Linked DNA regions of Mytilus edulis. The protein of the gene in region 3 purifies or fractionates together with the protein of the main gene of each other region. This does not show direct contact. Links are inferred from orthologs where the notes say so. Each region holds a gene or a part of one and is shown on either strand. Other genes may lie near its edges.

What was found.
Region 1: the proteins of probable global transcription activator SNF2L2 (region 3) and SWI/SNF-related matrix-associated actin-dependent regulator of chromatin subfamily D member 1-like purify together in Drosophila melanogaster (affinity purification with western blotting; 8 studies listed by BioGRID, with this or other methods). This does not show direct contact. The link is inferred for Mytilus edulis from reciprocal best matches to the Drosophila melanogaster genes brm and Bap60.
Region 2: the proteins of probable global transcription activator SNF2L2 (region 3) and protein polybromo-1-like purify together in Drosophila melanogaster (affinity purification with western blotting; 3 studies listed by BioGRID, with this or other methods). This does not show direct contact. The link is inferred for Mytilus edulis from reciprocal best matches to the Drosophila melanogaster genes brm and polybromo.
Region 4: the proteins of probable global transcription activator SNF2L2 (region 3) and SWI/SNF-related matrix-associated actin-dependent regulator of chromatin subfamily B member 1-A-like purify together in Drosophila melanogaster (affinity purification with western blotting; 7 studies listed by BioGRID, with this or other methods). This does not show direct contact. The link is inferred for Mytilus edulis from reciprocal best matches to the Drosophila melanogaster genes brm and Snr1.

Annotation. Positions count from the first base shown.
Region 1 is NC_092345.1:21,238,211-21,245,175, forward strand, and holds the start of SWI/SNF-related matrix-associated actin-dependent regulator of chromatin subfamily D member 1-like, read right to left. Parts: upstream 3,003-6,965; 5' UTR 2,923-3,002; coding exon 2,848-2,922; intron 1-2,847. UniProt on the Drosophila melanogaster protein: Involved in the recruitment and site-specific anchoring of the Brahma complex at specific promoter sites.
Region 2 is NC_092344.1:83,201,510-83,209,188, reverse strand, and holds the start of protein polybromo-1-like, read right to left. Parts: upstream 3,008-7,679; 5' UTR 2,893-3,007; intron 2,468-2,892; coding exon of another isoform or gene 611-2,467; intron 1-610. Other genes in the region: uncharacterized protein, read left to right, coding at 611-2,467; transmembrane reductase CYB561D2-like, read left to right, coding at 3,083-3,185, 7,252-7,289, 7,544-7,679.
Region 3 is NC_092344.1:5,668,229-5,676,130, reverse strand, and holds the start of probable global transcription activator SNF2L2, read right to left. Parts: upstream 3,024-7,902; 5' UTR 2,903-3,023; intron 1-2,902. UniProt on the Drosophila melanogaster protein: Transcriptional regulator. Acts as a coactivator, assisting one or more dedicated transcriptional activators of ANTC and BXC homeotic gene clusters. Can counteract the repressive effect of Polycomb protein.
Region 4 is NC_092349.1:8,148,018-8,155,444, forward strand, and holds the start of SWI/SNF-related matrix-associated actin-dependent regulator of chromatin subfamily B member 1-A-like, read left to right. Parts: upstream 1-4,402; 5' UTR 4,403-4,437; coding exon 4,438-4,533; intron 4,534-7,427.

The DNA.
Region 1 (6,965 bases), on a different chromosome or scaffold from region 3:
AGAATGGACATAATATCAATTTTTGATTTTTTTGCGAAGTTTCCCTTTAAGGAACAATTAGACCATATGAAACTCTATAAAGACTTCTAGATCTTATACACTGTCATAAAATGCTAAGCCAAGGTAAGTACAAAAATGTAAAATATATAAGATAAACATTACACACATACATGACATTACATGAACATGTAGGACAAAAATAGAAAAAAATACATTGTTAGACCCATAATCTTTCAACAATTTATTTAACTTCAGAAATATAATTTTCTGTCTTGTATCCAAGCATAAATTTATAATTTAAAATTTCAAATCCAATGTTTTACCATTTTCCATATTAAAAAAATTATGACAGCATTATATTAGATACATGTATAATCATGATCATTGGCTACATTTTAAAGCAAATTTTATCAAAATGAAATTACTTTCGCACTGCATCATTGACAAACTGGTTGGTTCAAACTGAACTGTATTCCTTGGTATAAAATCTTTCTTTTAATCACATGAACCAGTGATCTGGAAGGTTTTTTTCGCTATGGGCCCAGGGCCCTTCAAAAATAAATTCAATGGGCCATTTAAAAAAATAATGGGTCATGTTGTAAAATGAGTGGGCCATTTGAATTGACTTCTGTAAAAAAAGAAAAAGTATCAGTATATTTTGGCAAATAGATGTTGGTACTTATACCTTTATGATTTCGAATAATATCATGAATGTTGCTCCTGTGATTTTGTAATTTCAATTTCAATGAATATACAATAACGTTTTCCAAATCGAACAATATAATATTTAAGTTAACCTTTATTTACAATGTTTAAACTGGTACTGTTGCCTTGTTCATGTTCATGGTTTTTTTTTGTACATTAAATTTGGGTCTTCGTCGATACCATACTTATTCCAGACGTTCCGTATCAGAGGACATTTCAGGCATTTCCTCTGCACTTCTTGTATTATTATAACTTCATCACGGTGACAAGAATAACAGTAGAGAGTACCATTAATTCATAGAACAAAACAACAATTCGCTGAAGTCTACTTACAAAATATCAAAATGAGCCAAAGACCAAAAAATGACAAGGACAGTTATCGTCTTTTATGGAGACAAAAACTGTATTCATAAAAAGGCTTTGGGGTTTTTCAATCGAAATAAAAGCAAACTAAACCAAATGAGATTATTATTAGAGTTAAATCTCGTCAGTACTAGCCAAATTTCACAAATTTTAAAGTTGTTTATAAAAAATTATATCATGAATGATGGTTAATTACGTTTTTGGGGTTATCAGTTAGACCGCATGGTTATGGACTCCTAGGAATCGATATTAAGAATTGAACGATGGACACTTAGGGCGTGAATTTTTCTTGCTACCTGATTGGAAGATATTACGAGACTTGAATAATCAAAATTTATTGATTGGTTAGGACAATCCAAACCTAGTAAATGTCTTTCAATCCCGTAGAGTATCGGATTTGTCGTCTCTATTTTAGCAATTAGATTTTACACAGGTAACTTTTATCTATAAATAGACGAACCTTCTGGAGTAAACAACAACGTTAAACGATACTACAAGTTCATAACGTGTGACCTCACGTGTGTGGTAAAATTTGTTGATTGATGCACGTGGCTATTCTAATAAATGAATTAATCTACAAAGCAAGAGTTCTTTCAATTTTCATCAGCTAAGAGTCGAATATAGCACTTTTTGAAAGGCTATTGCTTGTTCTATTATGACCATAAGAAAACACACGAGACGTTAAACCGCATGGTTCTATTATCATAGGAAAACACCCAACACGTCCCAAAAATATATAGGTGCTCCTATTATTGGAGGAACATTACACAGTTGTGTACACACACACATGGCGGCACAGAACACGATCAGAAATCCATTTGACGATATCTAAACGGATCAGAATGAAGTGAAAAATATCTTGCGCCACGTGGGCGCTTACATTTGTCACTATATGCGCCATTTCTTGTCAATATGCGCTATAGGCGAAGGGCGCACGTCCTTCCCGATCACTGATGAACTATTTTAAGAAGCTTCATGTAGCTAGGCATGAAATCCCCAGACATTTAAAATCTGTGAAAACATAGGTTTCCCTAATTTTGGACACAAATGTAAGTCGCAAAAATCTTGAGGGTGATATCAATCATTAAGAAATTTTCATGAAATGAAAGTTTGTTGTGAATATGTTCACACAAATTAATTATACAAGTGAGTTTTGGAAACTTATGGTTGTGCATAAGTGGAGATAAGAAAAATGGTTTCTTAACATTTAATCATTTTTCTATATGCATGCTTTTTTTTATTTACACAGGTTAATTAAGCAAATGTTATGATTTTAACATATTTAACATATAACAGTTAGTTTATGTTTGACTCCATCACCTTCATATAACCAACTGTAAGTTGATCATTATGACAACTTGAATACATGTATGTTGATATTTTCATGGAGTGCTGCTGTATTTATCTCAATACTGCATAAATTCTGACGTTATCACGAGACTTTTGTGACTAAATTTAAATGGGGAAATGGATTATCTTGTAATTAAACCCATTATTTGTTATAAGAGTTAACCACAGGCAAAGTAAAGCCATAAGTCTTTGGAGTGTGTATACTATACTGTACATCAGACAGCACCATAACTGACGACTGATAAGCATTATCAGTTGCATGGTCCTAATTTTGTGATACCTAGTATGTATAAAGCAATAAAGTATTTCCCTCTAAAAAGTGATATACAGTCTAAGCATTACCATCCCCCTTTTTGTTTTGTTCTTAACTTTCATAGTTGTACACATGTATATTTATCTCACTAATCTTTGACAAGAAGATATACATACAGGGGAATAACCTGGCTGGGGAAATGGTCTCATTGGTGGTCCCTGTGCTGGGAACGACCGCTGTTGTGGCTGCATTTGATTTTCTTTGTCGGCTTCGCTTGGTAAATTGAAATCTCGTTTTTTCTCGTGACCATGAAATGACTAACTACCACAAGATATATATTTTCGGTCTTCAGATGATGTATAAAGATAGTGTTTCGCCCCATTTATTGTTCGGCACTTTTAAATGTTAAATTTCGGCATATATTTAAAATAAAAATAAAAATCTCAGAAATCTGATTATTGCGATCTTCCTCAACTTAATATTTTTTAATCGGTTTTTGATCATGTGTGACTCTGATTTTTTACAACTCAACTTAGCTCGCTCCAATAAAGTCTAAGTGGTTAAAACTATCACATATGTCATAAGCATGTTTATAATGTATATTTCTCGTTACTACTGATATGTATAGAATTATAATGTATCATTTTGCATATTAATTAAGAAATTTTACCATGTCAAAACAAAGTCAGTTTTTTTTAAATTATTTTTATTACATTATCATTAACAAAAAAAATCACAATATAATAGACTAATGGAATTTTATAAACATATTGTGTTGGACATGTATCAAATGGTAAATATCAATGTACGACAATATCTAAATCTGAATAATATAGAACATAATGTATTACAATAGGAGTAACCATTTCTAAGACATCAAATTTAGAACAAGACTCGGAATTCAACTGGCTTATAATAAAATGTGTACTAGTTTAATGAAAATGGACGTCATACTTAAATTCTAAACATGCATATAAATGAACTAGAATTAAAAAAAAAATAACAAAGGCCAGAGGCTCCTGACTTGGGACAAGCTCAAAAATTGCGGCGGGGTTCAACATGTATATCAATTATATGGTCATTTTTATAAATTTTCTGTTTACAAAACTTTGAATTTTTCGAAAAACTAAGGATGTTCTTACCCCAGGAGTAGATTACCTTAGCCGTATTTGGCACATCTATTTGGAATTTTGGATCCTCAATGCTCTTCAACTTTGTATTTATTTGGCTTTTTAACTATTTTGATCTGAGCGTCACTGATGAGTCTTATGTAGACGAAACGCGCGTCTGGCGTATAAAATTATCATCCTGGTACTTTTGATAACTATTATCTCAACCCCGGCCTATACCTCTAGCCAATGTAAATTGAACAAACACACAGCAATACGCTCAGTAAACACTCAGTTTAAAAGAAGTCGGAGTCCGATGTCAGAATAGGCAGCAAAAGAAACTATAAGCAAAATGACGATGATACAAAATTAACAAAGGACTTCTAGCAATTACTGACATGCAAGCACCAGATCTCATTTAAACTGATTGAAAGATCATATCCTGTATTGCTGTATTGAGTATTCTGTAATTTACCACTCAAACTGTGTCTTTTTATTTATATAGTATGTTACGACATTCGGTGATGTCAAACTGTTGCATCCATGGGTTTTTCACTCCAAATTAAACAGAAAATAGTTATTTAAGGTAGATGGGGTGTCTAAATTACAATCCATATATTTTTTTAATAATTTGCCAAAATATAGTCTAAATCATGCTTTAAAAAAAAAATAGAATGGGTCACGGGGCTTATTTTCCCGCTACATGGTGTTCAAAATTGACAAATTTTGTATAGATTATGTATGGAAAACCCAATTTTCTGCAATAAAGCGTAAACTACACCATAGAATTTTGAGATAACATATGAGAAGATAGCTTTAATAGTATGCTTTCAGTTAAGTAATGAAAAAAATGGGATCACCGGACCCGTTTTTTCGCTATATTAAAAAAAAAAGGTAAATTCCTAACACATTCTATTGTAAAATCTGAATAATCTGTCCTTGCATTTGAGTTGCCTTCCCTTATGTGGCAAAGTTGGAAAAAAATTTATCAAACAAAAGTTTTCTGTTTTTTGTAAAATACAACCATACTGAAATGAAAGTTCTTACGCATGAAATACCCACTACTCTAAAAATTTGCACATTCTATTAAAGATCTAGACCTTGTTTTCTGGTATTTCCAAATCCAAGATGGAGGAAGACACCATATCTACCTTATTAATGCAATGAAAATGACATTTTTCTGATCAAATTACAAACACTATATACCATCTGGTTTTAAGCTTTTTTTTTTAACAAGGATAGCGAAAAGTAGAAATGAGCTGTTCACTTAAGATATCAAAGACTGTTGTAGCCTAAACAAGTAATACAGGAAGGTATTGTGTTGTGGAAGAGTATGAGTGTCTGTATGAGTCATTGCATGTTCTTGTGTGTGAGTGAATCGGGTTTCCTGGTTGTTGCTTGTCCAGGACATGCATGACATATTTGCCAGTGGACATTAAGCAACTCAAAATCAACAATCCTGGTCACAAGTATAGTTGAGCTACATGTTTATAGTACGAGGCTGTATGATGAATACAGCATACGTTTCTGTCAGTGACGTTAATTTTATTGTGGTGAATATGTTTAGACCATCTCAATTTCGGGTTACGACTTGGTTCTCTGTTGTATATAAATGAGCAAAACAAGACTATTCAAGTTTTGACAGAACGAGTGTTTGATATCCCTGGGTTTTAAATCGCGATGATTTGTGTTTTCAGATTATGTTTACGGAACCACATTGATTTATTGCGGTACTGTAGGATGATATATTATACTGCAATCAGCTATTTTACTATACAGATAAAGCTATACGTATAAACGTTAGCTTTATACGTCAATGACCTCAACTCACCTATAAGCCCCGCCTACTTACAACTTCACGTCGCAACCATGACAACATGTAGTAACAATGGTCAAAATTTTATGAATTTAAACCTGTTATGTCTTCAAATTGGTAATTTATATACCATGTTTATCAAATATTATTAATTAAATTCATTTTCCCTTTCTAATTCCTTAAATTGTCAATGCTTACCGCCTAGACTACGCTCATAGGGAAATACCCAAAAATGGTACCCCAAGGGGGAAATTCCCAACACTTTTTTTTTCAAATGTTTGTTTCATATTTTTATTATTTTTTTTTTTTTTTTTTATCGATTTCAGTATGATAGAACCTCGCATTTTCCCGTTTCTAAGCCTCATACAAATAAATTTCACATTTCAAGACACGGTATACGTATATTGTCTAATATCAACTATATATGTGTTTCTCTTTCGAGGTATGACTGTACTACATGTATATGGTACAGCGGTATTTAGCAGAGGTTACATATTCTAGTGTACGATCGATTATGTAGAATGTAGCCATGCTAAATGGGTTGTTTCTTTTAGCTGACGGATAGCACAGTACATTTATCTAGATAGAAAGCAACGAAGCTGTTAATCTCTCTTTACTTACATTTTTCTTATATATTATATTATATATAGTCTAAAATAAAATTGAGAATGGAAATGGGGAATGTGTCAAAGAGACAACAACCCGCCCAAATAAAAAAACAACAGCAGAGGGTCACCAACAGGTCTTCAATGTAGCGAGAAATTCCCGCACCCGGAGGCGTCCTTCAGCTGGCCCCTAAACAAATATATACTAGTCCAGTGATAATAAAAGTCAGGATGTCAGTCAGTGTCCTCTTTCATTTTCATTTATCATAACCAATGATGATTTGTTACCAAAAGTATAATTTTAAAGCCTCCTTGTCCTCAAACCCAGCCTTCTTAGTAAGTGGTCAATTCAATACTGACAGGTCATTGATATATATATATATAAGTAACAAGACTGGAACCAAGATAGTACATTGAGGAACAACAGATGTGCCAGGCACTGTGAATGATGTCTTTCATTTATGACTACAGTAACACTGAACCATAGAGGAAGCCGGCGCCGCAGCAGACAAAAAGAAAACTTTTGCAAGTTTATCAGGAAATCCCATGAGCTTTATGTTGAATGCAGACGCTAAGAATACATGAAGGCTAATGCAACAATCAATGAAGTTGTTAAAAAAAATATGGAAATTTTCAATAAAATGTAAAAAGCCTCTTTATAAAATCATTCTTGCAAAATCATTAACGTTCTCGGTCAAAACGTTATATCGAACTGTTAACTTAGATTATATTGACTCTCGGACTTTGTAAAGTTTCTAAAGAGG
Region 2 (7,679 bases), about 78 Mb from region 3:
TCAAAAGGAGATGTTTTATTCTAATGGGAGAAAGGAGAACGGGGGTAGGAGAAAGGAGAACAGGGGTGGGAGAAAGGAGAAGGGTACCCCCCTGTCCTCCCCCTCATTAATTAATAATCAATGTTTAAAAGTCACCAATATGTGCTAAAATTGAAATTCCAAGTGTTATTCGGTCATTACAAGTGTTATTCAGATAGTAACAGTGTTATTCGGTCATTCGAGGTACCGTTGTATTGGTAATGCATATAAAAAAATATCTAATAATTGAACTGGAATTTCAATAAAAATTGGGTGCGAAAGTGTAGGGTGGGAACGTGTCGGGTGCTAAAGTGTATCGACTATTGGGTGTGAGCGGACCTGATACATGTAACTGCGGGGGCAGATGGAAAACACTGGCACTGCCTTTTTTGTTATAGTTATTTTTTCTGTTAGTGTTATTCAACTTGGGATAAAGGGAAAAACCTGGTTATGGATAAACAGCTTTCTCACAAATCGAACAGCCAGATGTATGCTGAATAACTTCTTTGGAGAACAATTTGATACCAAAATCGGCTTGCCACAAGGGTCAGTACTATCACCCACCTTGTTTAACATATTCATAGCTGATATAATGGATAACACAAAAGGAGAAAATTGCAAGTTTGCAGATGATGGCACTTTATGGCATAAGGGGAAAGACATAAAGGAAATGAAAGAAAGAACTTCAGAGGATGTCAAAACTATTTTAAAATGGACAGAAAAATGGAGAATTAATGTAAACCTGGAAAAGTGTGAAGTATGCCTATTCTCAAAAGGCAACACAGATGCAGAGCAGAAAACATTAAAAGTCAACTCCTTCTCCTATAGATATAGTCCAACACCGAAGCTACTTGGAGTAACTCTAGACGAGAAGCTTAAATTTGACACCCACATCAATCTGATGCAGAAGAGGGCAAATAATGCAATATATGTAATTAGAGATATTAAGAGCATGGGAGGAATATCAAGATCAAAACTACTCCAAATATACAACAGCATGGTTAGATCTATCATGGAGTATGCATGCCCAGTCTGGCAAATAACATCTGCAGAGAATATGAAGAAATTAGAAGCTGTACAAAGAAAAGGCTTGTCAATATGCCTAGGACTACCAGGAACATCAGGTAGAGAGGCAATGGAAGTTGAAGCCAACATACAACCCATAGACCTCAGAATAGAGGAAATATCAGTACGTGAACTGGCAAAAATACAATCAAAGAACATAGCAGAACCAATTAAACAACAACTAGAACAGTATTTAACAAACAACGCAACCTATGAACAACAGGATTCTCCATTTGGTAAAGCTATAAACCAATCCATAGACATGTTCAAAGCCACGAAAGTTGACATCAAACTTATAGAACCAGAATTCACATACAAAGCTGGTGTAGATGTCATGCTAAGGAGATCACCAAGTTATTGGAGTCGTCTAGGTAGCTCAAAGAACAGAACAGCCGAACAAACTGTTGAAAGTAAACAGGTTGTAAAGGACCTATTAGGAGACAGCACAGACTCAACAGTAGTGGCATTCACTGATGGTTCATGTCAAGGTAACCCGGGACCATGTGGGGCAGGAGCAGTAGTATATTCTGGAAATAGCCAAGGCATAAGTCTAAAGAGGCCAGTAGCTAATAGAGGATCGATACTTCTTGCTGAACTAGTAGCCATACTAATGGTCCTGGAGCACTGTATAACGACTATAAAGGACCAGTTTTCTGAGCTTAAAATACTGTCAGATAGCCAGACTGCTGTAGGCATCTTGACTCTGAACTGGAAATCTTCTAACTACATCGACACAATTACTGATATCAAAGAATGCATGGGAACGCTCTTAAGACACGGCATACTAACAACCCTATCTTGGATCCCAGGCCATGCTAATATAGCCGGGAACGAGATAGCGGACCAGTTGGCAAAAGACGCTGCAAAAGAGGCCTCATCACTAAATGATCAGTATAATGTCATAACCATGTCAGATGTAAGATGTGCAGTCAAGATGTCTACAAAACTCAAATGGCAAAGCAGATGGACAATTAGTGAAACTGGAAGACAGCTTTTCAACCTAATTCCTATCGTTGGTAAGGACGCACAACTAGACAAGCCTAACAACCAAATAGGAAGAATATTGTCAGAAATAAGAACGGGCTACAGCAGACTTAACAAATACAGAAACCAAATCGGTCAATCCCTCACGCCATATTGTGAATGCGGAGAAGAAGAAACATCAGAACACTTCCTGCTATACTGCCCAAGATACCAACAAGAAAGAGAGGACATGCGAAGACAAATGGAACTACTTAACATCGATCCAACAAATATACAGTCAATACTAGCACCACCAAAAAGAGAAACCTACGAAGCAACACCGCAAATTGTAGGGGAATATATTACAAAATCAGGGAGATTCCAAGAACTTGCAATCCCTGATTCCCGATCCTGCGCCTAAACAAGTATACCAAAGTACCGCGAGATATTACCTCGAGCAACGGTGTACCATAAGAGGAGGAAGATAGTACACAGAGAACAGTAGTGTCAATTATTGACCTTAGGATCAGGATCAGGAACAGTATCATGCTGGGCATAATTGAATTCGTGTACATTTAGCTCAAGCATCAGAATTCCACTGTGTCTATTGTAAACATGTACAAGACAAATAAAACTTACAAACTTGTATGACAATAAAAATGCTTTGAAATCAAGGCCTAAACTATAGCCTGTATAGGTTGTTTTTTTGGATTACTGCTTCATTTTCCGTAAAGCACATTTACTAATATATGATGCTTGGATATTTATCATCAATTAGAAACTAGATTTTATCCAAAATTTAGGTTTTCTGCATTGTTTTTGTAATCATTTGTTGTGTTTTCTTACTTTTCTTTGTGACAGACGCCGTCCATCAGCGTCAATGTGATGCTTGCATCGTCTGATTCACTTTTGTGTTTGTTTACAATGTGCGGTGATGAGGGAAATTTAATCAAAATAAATGTTTTTTCTACTGAAAATTTATAAAACTACTTGTTTCTTTGAAAATTTAAACGAAAATAAAACAATTGATGATTAAATGCAATTTATATGCACACAATATTTTTTTAAAACAGTTCCATTAGAAAAGGTATCTTTTTGTCTCAAATCAACACTTTCCCATGATAGTGAGTTTTGGAGTTGTGAGTTGTGGCTGAAACTCACAGTTGAAAAATGGTTGCACACTTTGCCACTATCCTTTTTACAGGATTTATGATATATTCGGCTGTTCCAGGCTCAAGTATTAACAGCTCCATTTTTATTTTAAAACAAAGATGAGAGAGACTTTATAATTTCCCTTTTCCTGTAAACATTTATGATTAAGGTTTATGTACCCTTCTGTAGCCATTTTTGTACGAACTTTTCAAATTTCAATTGTATCAAAACTACAGATATAATGAATAATAGAGATAGGCCATTTTGTACATATTCCAAGGGGAAACTTGATGCAAAGCATTATTTTTTACTGTTCCATTGCATTTAATAGAAAAAGAGGACTTTGTGGCAAATAAATCAAGATTTTTATAGAAAATCCACAGCCTTTATCCTTGTACTCTCATATTTGGCAATTTGATGACTGATAGATATAGGATTATTGCATGCAGTGCAAGCATTGATTTCCTTAAAACAAGTTTACAAATGTAGTTATTGGTTAAGACAAGTATAAATATGGCCAAAATCAAGTACACCTTTTAGGGTGCGCTCGACTTTAGTGACTCAGCACGAGGTGTTTTGGAATTTACAGGTTACTTAGAACTTTTTGTAAAAAATAAACACTAGCACATCATAGAAAATCAAGTGAGTAATTTATGTTTCAAATTTTATAACAAAAATCTCTGTATTAAAGGCTGTGGATTTTCTATAAAAATCTTGATTTATTTGCCACAAAGTCCTCTTTTTCTATCAAATGCAACGAAACAGTAAAAAATAATGCTTTGCATCAAGTTTCCCCTTGGAACATGTACTAAATGGCCTATCTCTATTATTTATTATATCTTTAGTTTTGATACAATTGAGGTTTGAAAAATTCGTACAAAAATGGCTACAGAAGGGTACATAAACCTTAAGACAAAAATCACCTCAGTTTTACCACCTGTCAAAAATGGAGTTGTTTTGAAAATCTATTCTGTGATTGATTATTACTGTTCATCAAAACAAAGGTAAAAATACCTTTCAGGTCATCAAATGCTTCTGTTCCCTGATCTTATTGATTTGAGTGTGTTTCCTGGTCATGGCACCATAAATGTAGCGATTAAAATTGAGGTCATCTACGCTTAGATATACTAACACGTCTGTTCAGCCAATATAGGATTATTACTTTCTTAAATAGAATTAAAATAATTGCTCCTCTGCAGTTCAATCAATATATGTGTTGGTGATTTGAAGTTACATCAGACATATATTTATAGGTCTGCAGAGGAGCATAAAGAAACCATGAATCAGGGATCTCCATGGCCTGTTTAACGATGGTGCCCCGCCATCGTTCAAATGTCTTGCGCCATCGTCAAATGACTTGCCCCATCGTTCAAATGTCTTGCGCCATCCAGAGATGGGTCCGATTACTTTCAATGTAATTGATTAAATTACAATTACTTTGTCATTTGTACGATTAAATTAAATTAATGATTACATCATTTCTGAAAGTATCTGATTAAATTAATGATTACATTGGCAAAGTAATCATGATTACATCTGATTACAATAAATTTAAAAACAAAACATTTGGATGATTTGGATGAATAAACGTTTAATATAACTATAGCATTTTTGAGAATATATTTTATTTGAGTCAATTATAAAATGATAACTTCAAATTAAACGTCATCTAGTTAAATAAACACCAAATTTCACTACATATATATATACATTACACTTTATCACCAATGATCTCTAAATTATTTTGAATTAAATTTTATAAAGATATATCATAATCAAGAGTTTTTTTGTTTGTCTTTTGACCTCTTTCATAATTTATATGTATTCCAAGTTGCAGTTTAAATATGGCTGAAATAAAGTTACCAGTTAAAACTATGTTGAATTTTAATAGAAATGTGTAATCAAATTGTAAACAATATGTATTAAAGTATTTATTAAAAACCATTGCATTTTACACGTCCAGTCCAAATACAAAAAAAAGTTTAAAAACATATTTGTCCAACTTTTAATTTAGTTTGTGCTAATTAGATAAATTTTCATGTCTGATTTATCTTTTATCATATATATTTCCCTACAGCTATACTCAATTGGTAATTGCAATAAAAACAAACCTTAATTAGTCTCCTACCTGTCAATTTAAAGTTGACAAAAATCACAAAAATTAACAAAAGATTATAATTCAGGGTTAAAGAAAAGTATTACTTGAATATATATCTATAACAGTTATAATCAAATATCAATATGAAGATCATTATAAAATGATGAATATACATGTATGTACAATATCTTTTACCAAGATAAAAGGTATATAATTGTATTATATGTCTCTGCTTAGGCTAATGATGACTTTTCAATACTGTAACAGTTTATTCTTTACTGAAGTAGACAAGCTTAAAGTAACCAAACCATTTTAGTATGTTAAAAATTTATCCAATATGAACAAAGAGGTTCATTTAATGACCAAAAACACAATTTTAGATTTTTTTCATTGTAATCAGAATGTAATCAAAAAGTAATCATGATTACAGGGTATATTGAAAAGTAATTGATTAAATTAAATTACATGTAATCAGATTTTTGGCTGATTAATGATTACACTGATTACTTGAAAAATTGTAATCAATTACAGCTGATTAACGATTACAATTACAATTACCCCAAGTCTGGCGCCATCGTTAAATGACTTGCGCCATCGTCAAAACTGTGATCGTTTTTATAGCCTGACGTCATTTTTTTTTAGCAATTATAATCAAATGCATGTAATTGCATAACCTTCGGGCTTTCTTTATAGTATAATCCAGTTCTAACGCCTGAGGGATATCCGGATTAAGATCGCTAATCACTTGTACCTGAGCTTGTACAGGTAGATCAACAAAGCAGACAGGAGAATATTATCTGAAGATAGACGATTCAATTGTCGAATTATTTAATTAAGTTTCCGCAAATGCTTATGATAATTCAGATTAAATAAATAAATTAATAGTCTAGTTACATAGTTTAACAAGTAAAACACGTGCTTTTATTTTGACTTACGCAATCAGCATCCCCCTTTTTAAGAAGTTCAAAATAAGACGTAAAACAGTAATTATTATTTCATCGCAAATAACTCGAGTACTGCTGTATTGTCACGATAATATAGAATTACTTTAAAGGTTAAAAAGTAAAAACTTTTAATATTTCCTGTAAATAAATATCGTATCGTAATTCCGAATTCATTTCGTAGTTTACAATCAAATTGATACATCCGCGTTTCCGGTTTCTATTCCGACTTGAAAAATGCATGTTGCATAGCATCGCTTTTCTAGATAAAGTCATTAAAAACCTTTTCATTTGACAATGTTCGCTTTACAAATCTTTTTAACCTTTTACATAACCCGTACGACTCGTGTTGTCGTTGCTGCAAACCAGCCATATATACCGGTAATGGGTTCATGAATTCTGAATTTGACAATGTCCGTGAAAAATAAGCTCCACATGAATTTTAACCCGCATAACAATTACCGAAAATAGCAAGAAAACTACATTGGGACCTTTGTGATAGCTATTGGTCATTCTCGACTAAGGGAAAGGGAGGGGGCATGAGGGCTTGCCTTTGAAGGGTTACAAATGGCAATTATTGAAAATATATATACTTCTATATACTATAGTATTTATAATGAGAATTCAAATAAATATAATTCAAATAAGCAATGAATTAGCATGTTCACCTATCCTTATGTGGAGGGATGAAAAACTTTCGATCGCGTTACGCTGTACATCGTAGATACGGTTTATGATGGTGAAAGTTCCTCCATCGTTCAATTTTCATCCATGGAGATCCCTGATGAATATGCAGCAGCAAACTTTTATTTAAAAAGCGATTTTGAAAAGACGGATAAACTATAAAAATTGCCTCCTAAAGAGAGGGAATGTCCACCCATTTACGGATTATCGGTCATCTTCTGATTTTATGGTTTATAATCTATAACTTAATTTTGTAATAGTTATTTTTATTTTATACATGTATATAGTTTTTGTTTTTTAGATGAACATCTTTTTTTTTTTAAATTTCAGGTCTATTTTCATGGCATCCTACACTAATGACAATAGCTGTAAGTAATTTGGATACTAACTGTCTAGAAATATTGGCTTGCATGAGTTAAGTAATATTATTTTTTGAGGAAAAAATGTCTACTTTTATTCATGATCATTCATTACTTCAAAACTCTACATTTTGTAATAACAGAGAAATGTCTCCCCTTAGTAGTATATGGTTCGAGTTGAAAGTAAAATAAAGAAAGATAGTGTCTACCCTACATTTAATGCAAGTGATCGATGTTTTAATATTCTTTTACATTTATTTCAGATGATGTTCCTTATGTTTGAAGCTATAATGCTGTTTAACCAACAAAGCTCATTGTTTTTAAGTTGGAGCCGATTGATTCGAGGGACAATACATGGGGTCATGATGTTTTTTGGAGTTGTGTGTGCAGCTGGAGGCT
Region 3 (7,902 bases):
GCTATTAACCAACGAAAAATAAGTGATAGCCATGCAACTTTTAAAATTAGATCGTGTGGATTTTTTAAAACGAATTTTAATAATAAAAGTAAATCATACAATAGAACATTTTTATGATTTTTTTTTTCTAAAAATACTTTAAACAAACATATGAAACTGACATGATCGATAGTGTATTAAAAATACATGTTTGTATTCTGACCTTTTTGCTTCATTCCAGCAATCATTTTCACTTACTTGTACGGTGGAAACAATAAAATGTGTATTGTTTTGTGACACCTAAAGAATGTGGAATGCGTAGTTTAACTCAAGGTAATTAAAAGATTAGCATTATGTAATTCTAATCTTTTGATCATCATTCAGTGAAATCTAGGCGTCACGGTTCACTGGCATTTCAGGTGTGAATAACATTTCGTATCAATTGTAAACGGGAGTCAGACAAAGTTTCAGACACATGAATGTAAAAAAAATTAATTAAAATTAATTAACGGGAATAATAAGATCGCACAATAACTGGATAGCTGTTGTATATTTTTTATATTTTGCACAAGATCACTTTTAATGAATTATGACTTTTGAATACTTTAGTAACGATAAAATACTGAATTATTTTAATTGAAGTATTTATAAATAAAAATAGCCTTCTAAACACGAGTTTATGAACTAAAAATTGTACTATTTCAAATTAGGATCGGCAGCCTTAAATATTTCAAACAGATCATTAACAATTGCAATTATATATTTTAGTCAATCCAAAGTGATCTTTAATTACCTATTTAGGAATTAATGTGCTCATCAAAATATTTTAAATCTCACAACACATGAATACTTCAGATATTTGAAAAAAAATGTTTTAAAAAATTGACAGGAAATAAAGGATCTAATTGGAATGGAATCAACAAATTACGAACAGATATGCTTTTCAAGTGTGAAAAACATCAACAAAATTTATACATAATCGGGAATGTCCTTCTTAAAATACTCTTCGTCTCACTCCGTAACTATATATAATACTTTAGCTATTTGACCAACGATGTTTAAAAAAAAATGAACGAATTAAATGTCATCTTTCCCTATTTTTTAATGTAATTATAAGTCTGTTTCAACTGGCCAGAATACCAGTAAAACGGACAAGCAGTTTATTCTGCAAACTGCTGTCATTGAATATCAAGAGAGAAAATAAATCCCGAAATTGATTTGAAACTTTGATACTCTATAGTTTTCCTGGAAAATATTCACATCCCTCGGTATTAGTGTACTTCCAGTTGCGTATATATATTACATACATGTATATTTTATAAATAAATTTCTTTTCACCAGAAATGTTATTCATAAACAAGCGTATGAGTTTAGTAATATCACTTTCGGACACGCAAGATAGATATGTATATTATACACCTAATAGTTCAAAATGGAAAGTTATAAGTTATCGGCCGTGTACACTTATCAATACACTAAGAAGTGAAACGATGCATGAATTTGCAAACTCGACAGGAAATCGCTTGAATACCTGGACGTGTCACCTCACACCCCCTCCAATACCTTTGGGAGTAATACCTTTAGCCATGCGGGTGATCAGTGGAGCGAAGATCCTAATTTATTTGAATAAAGTTTATTACATAAAAGAATTATGAACTAATTAGATTTTCGAAAACAATTCTAGTTTCACGGAAGACTTATTTATGATTTGAAATTTTGACTTTTTCACTAATTCCTATATTATCAGTCTAAAAATAACAGATCCTGGTTATTTAAAAAAAAAAAAAAAAAAATTTCCGTATCAAGTTAGTTAACTAGTCGGATAAAACAACCGTACGATTGACGAGCTATCGACACGCAATTACGACTACATCGGGTTACTGTAGTTTTGGTCCTTAGACATATCTTGACTGCAAATCGGAGAAGGTGACAAAATGGCCGACCGCAGAGAATTGATACTCTAAATTTAAAATCGATGGTGATCTCTTATCTAGCAGAATAAAACTTTAATATCTATGAATTTGAGAATTTTTATACAGAATAAACATAATATCAATTTTTGATTTTTTTGCGAAGTTTCCCTTTAAGAGCCTTATTATAAAGTTCAGTTTTAGCTAGATGAAAACTTCCAGAAGCAGTAAAGTGAACACCTAAATATTTGTAATGAGCGACACAGTCAATCAAGTTATTCTGCAGTCGAAAATTCTCCTGAATTTTCCTTCCAGCCTTATTAAAAATTATGACTTTAGTCTTTCTAATATTAACTTTCAGGCTACTATATTATCCGCTACGGCACGGGCATTAAAACACTTTGATGCACGTTTCTATATCTATTTATTTGAAATAAATAATCTGAATTTCTTAAGGCTTATAAGTTAGTTTTCTTGTCCCTAAATTAGTCTTCTTGTGCTAGATGAATCTTCTTGATCATGTTGATGTTTCTTGTCGTTTCTGATAGCTTATTAATAAAACCCCAGAAGGCAGCACATATAAATTTATAATTTGAACCTTTTTATATTATACAAAATGTATGATCACAAGTTAAGTAGGGTAAAAGAATATAAAATTATAACAATGAATAAAATTCAACAAATCATTTATACAAATTTGTATTCTATATGATATGATATGAATATTTTTGAATATTGCTGAAAAATATTTCTGAATTTGATAGTATGACTTCATAATCATATACTGTACACATTATTATAACTACGATGGAATAGAATGATGTCTATAAACATAGATGGCTAAATCACAATGGTAGTTTCAATGGAAATATTTCCACCAAGAAGAGAATCGACACCACAGACACGAACAAAGAACCGACTTTACAACACACATAAATCATTAAATTGTGTTTAACGATCATAAATAATTAGAAACCGCGCCAAAGACTAATCCAATACACAAGTAAACTTACCGGTGTCTGTAAATAAAGGTAAATTCTATAATTAGGTCAACAATAATCAAAGCATTTGTTGAGTTGTCGATGGCTTTATTTTCTATGCGCATTCATCTGACGCAAGTCACTTCAACCTTGACCTCAAAAAAAGGTTAAATTTAAAAGTTGTCTCCCATTGAAACTTCCGGCGTCCATAGAAGCGGTTCATTACAAATATTGCTACATTAATTTGCCTAAAAGGTAACATTTAGATTAATATATAACTGTTAGGATTTGAAAATTTTATCAAAATTCAACAGTTTATCGCCGTTTATTCACGTTAAGCACAAACACTTTGCAAATAGATTTTAAACTTTATTTGATTTTTGTTGGGTCTGCATGTTGTAACTTGCACGATTTTTCATTGGCATCTCCTCTTTACCGACTTCACACACAAGCAGATTCGTCCCCTAGCGTCTCCAAATGAGTATTCAATTCGACCATCTATTTGTCCCCCCAAAGTAACACTTTAACAGGATCTCCTGTAGTTGGTGATCGCAATACACCTTATCGCTATTTGTCCGCCATTACTGGACATCACACAGGGTCCCGTAAAATTTTGACGTCATAATTCAAAATATCTGACGCCACAATGGAAAAGTGATTGTTGTATGACGCCAATAGTTCAAGCGGAACAGATTCTCGGGTCAAGCGGAAATAGCGATAAGGTGTATACTGGTATACCAGTATTGTCCACAATACTGGTATAAAAATTTTGTACCAGTATTGTAACTTTTTATTAAAAAAACCAGCAATACTCGTACATTACTGATATACCAGTATTGTAGTTGTATTGTTGACTAGACTATATTGAAGATCAAAGGGATATTAAATGAACTCAAAAAGATTATAGAGGATAATACATACCTGCCAACTTTTGAAAGTGTCCATGGGGGTTTTAGCGCACGACAACAATTTCAAAGGTTACATTAATACTTTGCGACAACTATTTTGAGTGTGCTGTTTTGTGGTCTAGAAAAAGTGTCATATTTGTGAGATGAGCTTACATGCCTTTTTCTTAATTTTATTTGCATGATTCTAGTTATTATATATCAGTAGAAAAGATGAACATGTGGCTGCAAGACCAGGAATTAATTTCATGTGTAAGGATATTAAATAATTGTTTACTTTTCCAATTTAAAATTATGCACAAAGAAGGACCTTTATCAGGTTAGGAACAACACTTAGGGGTAACCCCTCAATGTAAGGACATTAAAACCCACTTTTTAAGTAAAAATGAGCACATATATATTCATATTATTTGAAGAAACTTTTCCCAAAGAACTATACATCTTATGATCTATCTGGTATTATACAGTATGGTCAACACATGTCCAAGAATTTTGATATGTTCTTGGCCTTATATCTTCTATATTTTCAAAATAATTGGACCCTTCATTTAGAAAGTTGTTCTAAATATAATGTCAGAATTTCCCAATTTTAGGTTAAAAAATCTACATTTTATGATTTTTCTATTTTATTTTTTACAAGAGTAAAATGACCCCTTGACTAAGAGAAGTCCCTCATTTAAGAGATTTCCATGTGGGGGGTTTTGTTTTGTCCATGTGAAAAATAAAGAACAGTACATTGTACTTTAAATAATTTGGTAATTTAATTGAATACATAAATTTATAACATTTGTTACAGCAAGTGTAATATCAATAAATTAGTGAATAAACTAGTATTTATTATCTTTATGGTAGTACTGCATCATTGTAGTTTGTCAATCAGTCATGCTTTTATTCTTATTTTGTGTAAAAACTTCCTTGCAGGTGAAAAACCATTTGCCATGTTCACGATTTGAACAAACAGAGGAATACAACACAAGTTCAAAATCTAGGATGTTAGAATATTCTTGAGAGAAAACTTTTTTGATTGGCTGATTAATTTGATCATGAGAAACATAGAATTTGATTGGCTGAACACAATTGTATTCCATTGTACACAGTTCAAAATCGGGAACAGTCATATTTTTCGTGTTGATTTTCACAAAATCGTGTTTTAGAGGGTTTTTCACGATCACGATCGTGCAATCGTGACAAAGGGTCAAAATCGTGTAGTACACGCCTAAATCGTGAAAGTTGGCAGGTATGATAATAATTAATTGTGAAATCAATTAACAACCAGTTAAAAGTCATTACTATACTTGCACAAATAAACAATTGCTAATAATTTCATCATATTTCTATATTTTATATAATTTAATATAGATAAAATAAAATAAAAGCTTATTATCATCTGAGTAATAATTCAAGCAAATCATTAGACTCGAACACTGTAAATTCAGCATTTACATGTATGCCATCACATATTTGACAGATATTTTTATACATGTATACATTTTTTGTCTACTAAGATCATATGCATTTGTTTTTCTTTATTTTCTTATTAATTTTTCACAACAAAAGATAACTATATTATTCATTAATTGTAAAAAGTTGCTTTATAGGGGAACCTTGTTATAATCAAATTTACTAGTTTGTCTACATGAATGTTAAGGGTTGAAGCAGTTGATTCAGAACCATGGACAATACAAATAGTAGCAGATACATGTATATCTACTGGTACAAATACTAGACCAGCATTTTGACAGTAAGAGAGCTGTACAAATGCTATCTGAAATAGCTTGTAATCTAGTAAGCGTTAGAGAAAGTCCACAGAGAGTGAATACCTAAATACCAATATAGGAAGGGGGAGGGGTTACAGAAATCACATCTGAAGAAGAAATAGACAATACCAATGCTAATGATACAGAAGCTATAACAGCATTAATGTCAATATAAAATTCACTAAAATATACTTCATGAATCTTGGAAAGAGAGAGATGAAAGAAAAAATAGAAGAAAGTACAGAGTTTGTTAAAATGCTGAGACAGAATGGTTAAGAAAAAAACATCAGAAGATTTAAAACTTTATTCGGTACCACGATTTCCTGAGAAATACGAAAAAAACATTATATCCTGAGAACAAACTAATGTATCCCGAGAAAAAGATTAGTTATGGTGTTATGCTACTTTTTATACATGTTATAGTGTTAAAGGGAAAATTCACGATTTTTTACTTATAGTTTAAATATGTTCATTATGACATAATATATATATTCACAAAGTTTTATCGCTATATGTGCAGCAATAAAGGAGAAATTCAATAATTAATGAAAAAATATTAACAACTTCCTGTAGGTCGTGACGTTTTCTCCTGGTTTTTGCATGCCGGGATTTAAAATACAATCAATAAAAGTCTTGGTTTTTAATGATATTTTAACGTAATCGTAAGCGCGCCGATGACTTATGCTTCATCTAATAACCAGCCGATAATAAGAAGATAAAACGCACAGACATCCAATGTACATATTCATGAGATAAATTTTCTATGTTAATCGTATATATCCGAATTAATTTTTTAGACAACACAAAAAGTTATAAATTTATTTTTGATTAATGCATTATCGGACTGATAAGGTGAACAAATTAAAGTACAATAATCTGTAAAGACAATATGTTAGTGTACTCTTATTGACCTTTTACTGTCTCTGCTATGACTAGGTTTATACGATGTGTGTATTCACGGTTCTGTGGCAATACTCGTAGATGGCTTGTTTAAAGGTAAATTGTTATTTGCACTTCGGTATTTAACCACGCCTCTAGGGCACACCTTGCCAGGTGTGACTGTCTATTGGGATTAGTGGGTTATAAAACAAGGGAGCATTTAATACACACATTTAAACTACATATTCAAGTTGGTGACAAATGAAAATAGATCGCCGTGGAATTATTTAATTATATTTGGTGCTATTATTTATTTGAATTCAAATAAATTAATTTACTAAGAAATAAACAATTTTCGGTTAAAGACGGGAAACTTAATTCATGTGTCAGAATGAAATGATATACACCTCTTGTCCTTGATTTATGTCTCATAAAAAAGGGGAACTTAGAAATTAGAAATAGCTTTACCAAAGCATTTTGATTGTCTTTATCAGGCCAAAAAATGTACGAGAACACTTACATTTAGACTTTTGAAACCCATGTATTAATTAATATCTGAAACTATCTGAAGACAACTCTACCGAAGCGGAATATAATATGTACGAACAAAGAAAAAATACTTTTGTTTTTAAATCTTTGCACATTAATGATTAATGATTGTTATCTATTGTTCATTTAATTACTTAATTAGTACCTAAAATATGTCTACCGCTTGGCATTTAATCTTGGTGTGGTAGGAAACGATTATTACATATAGATTATATTATTTGGATGAGGATTTGAGCTAGCCTATAAAAACACATTAATTAGTTAACATACATTCGAGACCAAAGGATATTAACTTTGATAATTCAATTAACTTATTCACATATTTTTCTCTTATGATTTGTGCGTGCTTGTTTCTATAGGACAGTGTATATATGGTCCAAAAAATAAAATCATAACTAAAAATATCTTGTTCGGAGAATGATAGTACTAACAGTGGTTCCAGGTCGTCAAGAGAGGTAGCTTTTGACGAGTATGGTCAATTTGGGTACGCACTAGAGCCAGAGTATACCGAAGAACAGCTTTATGAAATGGAAGCTGCAGAAAGTTCCCGAAATCAAGATATCCTTAGCAACCCTCGCCATTTTGGTAAACGGACAGAAAGTCACAGGACAAAAAGTCACAGGACATAAAGTCACAAATTTGATAGGACAAAAAGTCACAGGACAAAAAGTCACAAATAATTTTTTTACAATTTTTTGAATATATAAGAGAAATATCTTGAAATACTTACTTTTTAATACATAATTTCATATTAAAGTCAATGAAATTTATCATTTTACTTGAGAAAAAAAAGATTTATTCAATTTTAATCATGCAAAGGTCATATTTGTTGGCACCATGAAGCCATTTAAGTGCCAATCTACCTCGACATTTTGTTTTCTTAACAATTATTTGATCATCTTTGCTATTTTTTTGATAACTTTTGCTTACAAAGCTGGTTCAT
Region 4 (7,427 bases), on a different chromosome or scaffold from region 3:
CTATTTTGCAAGAAGGTCCCCATACACACGAAGAAGACGACACGGTTATAGGAGTCGATACAACATTACAGTCTTTGCGTAGTGCAATTCAACAAGACCCAAGCGTCCCAATAAAGCGGGTATACAACAACTTTGCGAGAAATGTGGCACAAGGAGGCGGGGATCGAGAACATATTCCTGAATTCCACAGAGTCCGTTCCGCAATGACACGAACTCGACTAGCTCACGTCCCCGCTGTGCCTCATGATATTGAAAACGAACATGGTCGGAAGATAGATTTCTGTTGTACAAAAACAATGATTGGGGTGTTCTGATATATGCAACACATGAAAACTTATTGAATCTTAGACAATGTAAAGAGATATATTGCGACGGGACCTTCAGAACTTGTCCAAGGCCATATTCACAATATTTTACCATTCACGGCCGGTACCGTAATAGGGTGATGTGTTTTGTAAACTGTCTAATGACTGATCGCAGTATTGGTGACTATAGACATATTTTAGAAACACTGAAAGTCAAAATTCGACAAATCACACGGCACAGATGGCGCCCAAGAAAAGTCATCTGTGATTTTGAGCTCGCATTGATATCAGCAGTAGAAATTAACTGAGCTTCCACGCGCTCAAATTAGTGGTTGCTATTTTCACTTCAATCAGAGTTTGTGGCGAAAAGTCCAGAACTTAGGTCTTGCGGCAAGTTACCGACGACGACCAGCAGTAAAAAGCCTAGTCCGTAAAGTTATGGCCATTGGATACCTATCAATTGCTGTTGTGCGCCAGAAATTTCGTTTGTTGAGAACATCCCGTAGAACTCAGAGACTCTGCAGGCGGTATAATGGACTAAGGGACTTTCTTGACTACTTCGAAAGGAACTATTTGAACGGGTTGTTCCCTCCCCAGATGTGAAATGTTTATGAAAGAGATATGAACAACAGAACAAACAACAGCGTTGAAAGTAAGTGTTATCTGTTTATTTCAAAAGTTAATCTGACGAGAAAAAGGTCTCAATTTAATAAACTTCACATTCAGAATATTTTTTACTTAAAACGATTTAGATTTAAATTTTCGCTTGGTATATATATAAATGCACTTATACAGTTAAACTGATATGAAGGGGTTCGGGGGGCTTTAGTATAAGGTTAAAAATTTCGTAATTTTATTTAATACACAATTTTTCGTTTATTCTTTAATTATTAAACATTCTTTTTCTAAAATAGTGGAGACCATTTTACCCCCCCCCCTTTTCCGGCTACCGAAGGTGTTAAATGATTTGATTTATTATGTATAAAATCACGTCAGTACAAGTATGTATAGCTGTAGCGTTTGCTTCTCCGTTCCATATTACGAATTTGGTTTTATGTTTAAGAAAATCTTAAAAAATATGAACATAAGTGCCACCAATACGTCTATATAAACATAAGAATATGTGATATGGTTGCAAACGGGACAACTCTATCTAAAACCTAATTAGGTAGTAAATTTAAGCAATTTAAGCCTTGACTCACACAGCAAAGTAAACTTTCAAGGGCTACAAAATGACAAGTGTAAAACAGTCATGTCAAACACAAAGACGTATTTAATTATGTATCACATATTTTTACTTGATATTAATAACACTGTTTCGGTTAGACACCCTTCTTTGTGGACTTTCATAAAGACCAACAAGCAACTTTGGAGAACTCCGTGGAGGCTGTCGATAGGGTATAGGGCGATCCAGCGCCGAAAAGAAAAAGAAAATGGCGAAATCTAGAAGCACGGATGATGAGATTGAAAGAGGAATATAATAATGGAACGAGAAATTTAGACCAATACTGGAACGCAGTGTGCTATGGAGTGGTTCAGTTTTGACACTTTGTTGTATTTTCTTTAAACATTGTGTAAATTTAAAAGTGAACTTTTTGATAAAACTATTTAGTTATGAAAACTACTGAATTTTTGCTGACAATTTGTGATATTTTTCAAAGATAAATAATTCCAAATTTGATTAAAGTGTTTTGCATATTTGATGAATGAAATGCATCACCAACAAATGCAAAAAAAAGAAGCACACACAGATTAGTAACACATTCTTCTTCTAATGCAAATACAAGAACTAAATGCCGTTACCCCCCCCCCCCCCCCCCCCAAAAGCAAAGAACAAAAGAAATGTTTGCGGTAACGCTATACCACTAAATTACACCAGGAAACGGACTAATTGGTACTGTATGTTTTTATTGTGTAATTTTTATCAAATCATTTGATTTATATTATAATTATTAAATGTTTATTTGGCCTATATCAATTTGATGATTTTGGTCGTTTTCAACTGATTTTTATCGTGCTTACACCACTGCTGTCTGAGGGAATCTTGGATCCAGAAAAAATGTTTAACCCGGCTGTGGATGAAATGAAAGACGATATGAAACCTGGGGATATTACTATCGATACAAATATTCACACTAATGCTTTTTATCGTTCTTTTTCAAAGATTTTCAGAAAATTGTGCTCTTTATATGCGACGTCATCAGGCAAGGTCGCCTTTTTTCATGACGTCACAATAGGAAAATTGAGAAGAAAACAAAACATTTTGACACAATTTTCTGAAAATCTTTGAAAAAGAACGATAAAAAGCATTAGTGTGAATATTTGTAAAACTAAAGTGATGGTTTTTAGCAAGAGAAAATCGAAAATGGATTTTGATTTTAAACTTGATGGTACATCTCTTGAAATTGTAGATAGCTATACATATCTTGGTCTTTTGCTTAATTATAATGGGTCATTTGTTTGTGCAAAGAAAAAGCTTGTAGAACAGTCGCAAAAAGCACTTTTTGCTGTTTATACAAAGATTAGAAATTTACATTTACAACTTAAATTGTTTGATTATCTTGTCGAACCTATTTTATTGTATGGATCAGAAATATGGGGATTTGAAAACATTGATATAATTGAAAAAGTTCATCTACAATTTTGCAAGAGAATTTTAAATGTGAGATCAAGTACTCCAAATGTCATGGTATATGGAGAATTAGGAAGGTTTCCACTAGAAATTAAAGTAAAATTAAGAATGTTATCGTTTTGGAGTAGAATGGCTAAAAATGAAAACAAACTTAGTAGTTCTATGTATAAGCTTATTTTCAAATTACATGCTGATGGTATTTGTGAATTTAAATGGGTGTCATTTGTAAAATCTATATTTGACAACTCAGGATTAGGTTATATGTTTTTTCAACCAATACATTGATTATTCAACTTTCAAACCCGTTATAAAACAGATTCTTCAAGATCAGTTTCTTCAAAAGTGGTCCAGTAATATTGATAACTCGTCTCGTGGCGAATATTATAAGTTATTTAAATCTCAGTTTGGTCTGGAAAATTATCTATTACGTCTTCCAGAGGATAAAAGAATCTGGATTTCAAAACAGGATTAGGGAAAAAATATTCTTGAGATACACAATTTATATATATCAAAAGTATTCATGGAACATGTGGAATACAACATTATACATGATAATACGAAATACGAGAGGAGAATGATTATACTTTTTCTGTTTAAATTTGACGACATTTTTAAAAGGATATATATAAAATGACAATTATGCTTCAATTTTAAAAAGATAAAAGATATGATAACATTTAGGAAAGGGCCCTTGTTAATTTGCAAATAAACGGCACAATTACGATGGTTAAACAATGTTTGAGGTAGTGGGCTTAATTTCTACAGAAGAATAAAACATAAATCAACTTACCAGTTTCACAAAGACGATGCTGCCAGTTGTCACATGTGTCACATTGAAGAGCATCTTGTCGAATCGTAACCGTCTTCTTGAACATTACAACGTGGACGAACCATGATTGCAATTGAAGATGATCATACATTTCACCATAGTTTATATATTTTTTCTCAAAGCTTGATTTTTACAACGTTTAAGCCATGCATTTTCTTTTCGGTGAGGATGGTGATTGTTTAAGTATAACTCAATGGCCTTTGATGTTCATAGTGCCGCACTCATACCGAATTTTTGTTTTCATTTACTTCTCTATGTTTATTCTACTTTTAACAAATCCATTCTATTTTTGTAGGTATGTTATCCACTAATGAGCACTGATTAGTATATTGTGTACTCATAATTATTTTAATGTGCATATCAAATGAATTGCCGTCTAAACAATTTCAAACAATCAATTCTAAGGAATACTAATGATTATAACGATTAGCATTTGATAAGCTTATTTAAAACAATTATAATTGCATTTTATTAACAATGAAAAGTTTATTTATATGTTGCTATATAATGATATATACGAAAGAAAGTTACAATAACTATGCATATAAACATGATAAATAATATCAAATAAAGCATGGGTAAGAGTTGGTAAAAATAGGGTACGAGTTGCCGAAAGTACGAGTTGTCGTGTACCCGACTAAAAAATCTAAACTGAGTGGTCTCCCTTTGCCATGGCGTCAAATATGTTTGGGACAAAGACATTTGGTGAAAAACCTCAAAAGTTTCAGATAGAGGAAGGCGAAGAATATTATTATGTCGGATCAGAAGTATGAAATTACATGTTGTTAAAGATCTCAGTCGAGAAAATTTCAGATTTAGTGTAAAAAAATCGTTTTTCTATCGAGAATCGTAGAGTACCCATGGCATAATTTATTTCTGTAACTGTTAGTGTTACTAAATTTGTGGCCTTCCTTATCTAAATTTCATTTATGGTTAGAGTTCGTTTAAGGGTAGGCATTTTGTCAGGGTTAGCACCCGTTAGACCCAAATTTGAATATTCTTGTTCTGTTTGTGACCCTCTGACACACAACCAATCCGTATGCAAAATTGAGATGGTCCAACAACAAGCTGCTCAGTATGTCTGCAAAACCAACATGAGTAGTGTTACAAACATGCTCACAACATGGAATTTACCATCACTAGCAGAATGGAATGTAAACTACACATAAGATTAGTTATGATGTACAAAAATCATGTTGCAATACAATGAGTTCGTGGTCTAGTGGTTAAGACCGATGGCTACAGTGCTGAAGGTCCATAGTTCGATTCTCACTCGGGGCGCTAAAAATATCAGTACGTCAGAAGGGTAATTTTCACCCTCTCACACACATCACTGGTACCCAGACCGGAGTTTAAACTAAAATGGGTACTTTGGGGGCCTCGGTTGGTCAAAGTTGTTCCCTGCTTGACTTCGAGATCAATCTTCTGATATCTCTCTGGTTTGTCTGTTTCCACCGAGTGGCCCGGTGGTTCTCTCCGAGTACTTCGGCTTCTTCCACCATAATAACAGACTTCCTGGTGTCCTAGCACTCCCTCGGTGTTGGATGGGGATTGAGTTGTCCTTGTAAAAATAATTGTCGTATAAATTATACGTTAGTGACACATCTCCATTAATCCCGATAGGGAGTGTACATGGATGCCACTGTACCCTCACATGTAAACCAGTCAGGGGACTTACTGAAATAAGTGATTTTTAAATCACTTATTTGAGTAGCAAATTCGAGGTTTTGTCACAAATTGGGATTATGTAGTTTTTTCAAAATTTGAAACACATAGGTTTAAATAATATCTTTTAATTAGTAAAATTTAAAAAAAATGAACTTTTTGCTTCTTTTAAGTAGCAAGGTTTATGCCTTTGATGCTATCATTTAGCTGAAAATTCTATTTTAGTTGAAAAAATGCTATAATAATGGCTTTACATAATGAACTGATACTTTCTTAAAAGATTTTTCCCAGCAGTGGGAGTATTTTTCCTGTGAAGTTCAAGGTTTCATCTTTCAGATTATGTAATAAAATTCTACTGTTCGCAATAAAAATTTCACTGTTTGGGGATGTTTAAATTAGTGGGGGTTATTAAAAGAATGATACTTAAAGAAGTGATTTTTGGGAAGGAAATTGAGGTCTGATACTTAAACAAGTGATTTTTATGTCATTATCCTAGATTCAGGACAAGGTCATCACCTGAAATGACCTGGTCATCCTAGACAACACAGATGTTGGTTCTGATAAGTTTAGAAACATAATTAGTCCCTGGATCATTAGTATTCTATATTTAAAGCTACAATAAAATTAAATCACTTCTTCTAGTGATTAATTTGTACTACTTAAATAGGTGATTATTAAAGAAAGACAACTCTAACTTCCAATCTTTATGGAAATAATGTTACTTGAATCAGTGATTTAGAAAATCATTTATTTAAGTAAGTTCCCTGACTGTAAACATGTAGAACATGCCTCATATCATAATTTCTCTTGCTGAGTTGCTGAGATTATATTAATGCTGTAAATAAACAAAACAGAGAACAGCTAAAGTGAGCTGTTCCCTGATGCTTTCAATGGATTGTGCCTGAACCAGTACCAGAGGGAGATCGTTCCACTGTGGTATTGTCATGAACTGAAATTATGAACATCTGTACAAGTATTTTGATGTATGAATATGCCTATATGAAAGTGGATGTTTTTTTTTCTAGTTCTTGGGTCTGCTTTTATGGGGGTTGCCCGGATATTCCGACACCCTGTTAGTCTGATGGAATACACCTTATTGCTTTTCCAACTTGACAATAGAGTGAGTCCCGCTTGAACATGTTGAACTTTTGACATCATACAAACAACCATTTTTTTCATTGTGGCATCAGATATTTCCTATAATGACATCTAAACTTTATGGGAACTAGTGTGAAGTCGAGAAATAAACGTATTTAAACTTTTGGTATTTAGCTGTATCTTGCCTCCGAATGACCTTAGATCGACTCAGAATCACCTTTTGACATCAAGCAACAATTACTTTATTTCAAATTGTGACGTCAAATATTTTAAATTATGATGTCAAAGTTTATTGGAACCTGTGTGATTTTACGTAATGGTGGACAAATTCATTTTGCATACAAGTGTAAATATGTCTATGGCGGACAAATAGCAATAAGGTGTATGTATGTATGTACTGGTAAATGCCTCCGATATCCGAAGAATCGAGGGGTTCTTCGGATATCGGAGGCATTTACCAGTACATACATACATACACCTTATTATGGAAAGCCAACGGGGTCAAAATTCTTAATTCGTAACTTGTCAATTCGTAACCGTTGTAACTGTGTAATTTCTAAATTGTTAATTCGTAAATTGTTAATTTGTAACTTGTTACTGTGAAATTCATAATGCTTAATTCGTAAATTGTCAATTTGTAACTTGCACCTTTGTAGTTTCAACATTCTTAATCGGTAAATTGTCAGTTTGTTACTTGTAACTGTGCAATTTCATAATGCTTCATTCGTAAATTGTCGATTTGTAACTTGTATCTTTGTATCAAAATTCAACATTCTTCATTAATTGTCAATTTGTAACCTGTAGATTTCAAAATTCTTTATTCATGTTATTGGTAAATTGTCTTTTTGTATATTGATGTTTTGTAACTTGTAACATGTGACTTGTCGATTCGTGAATT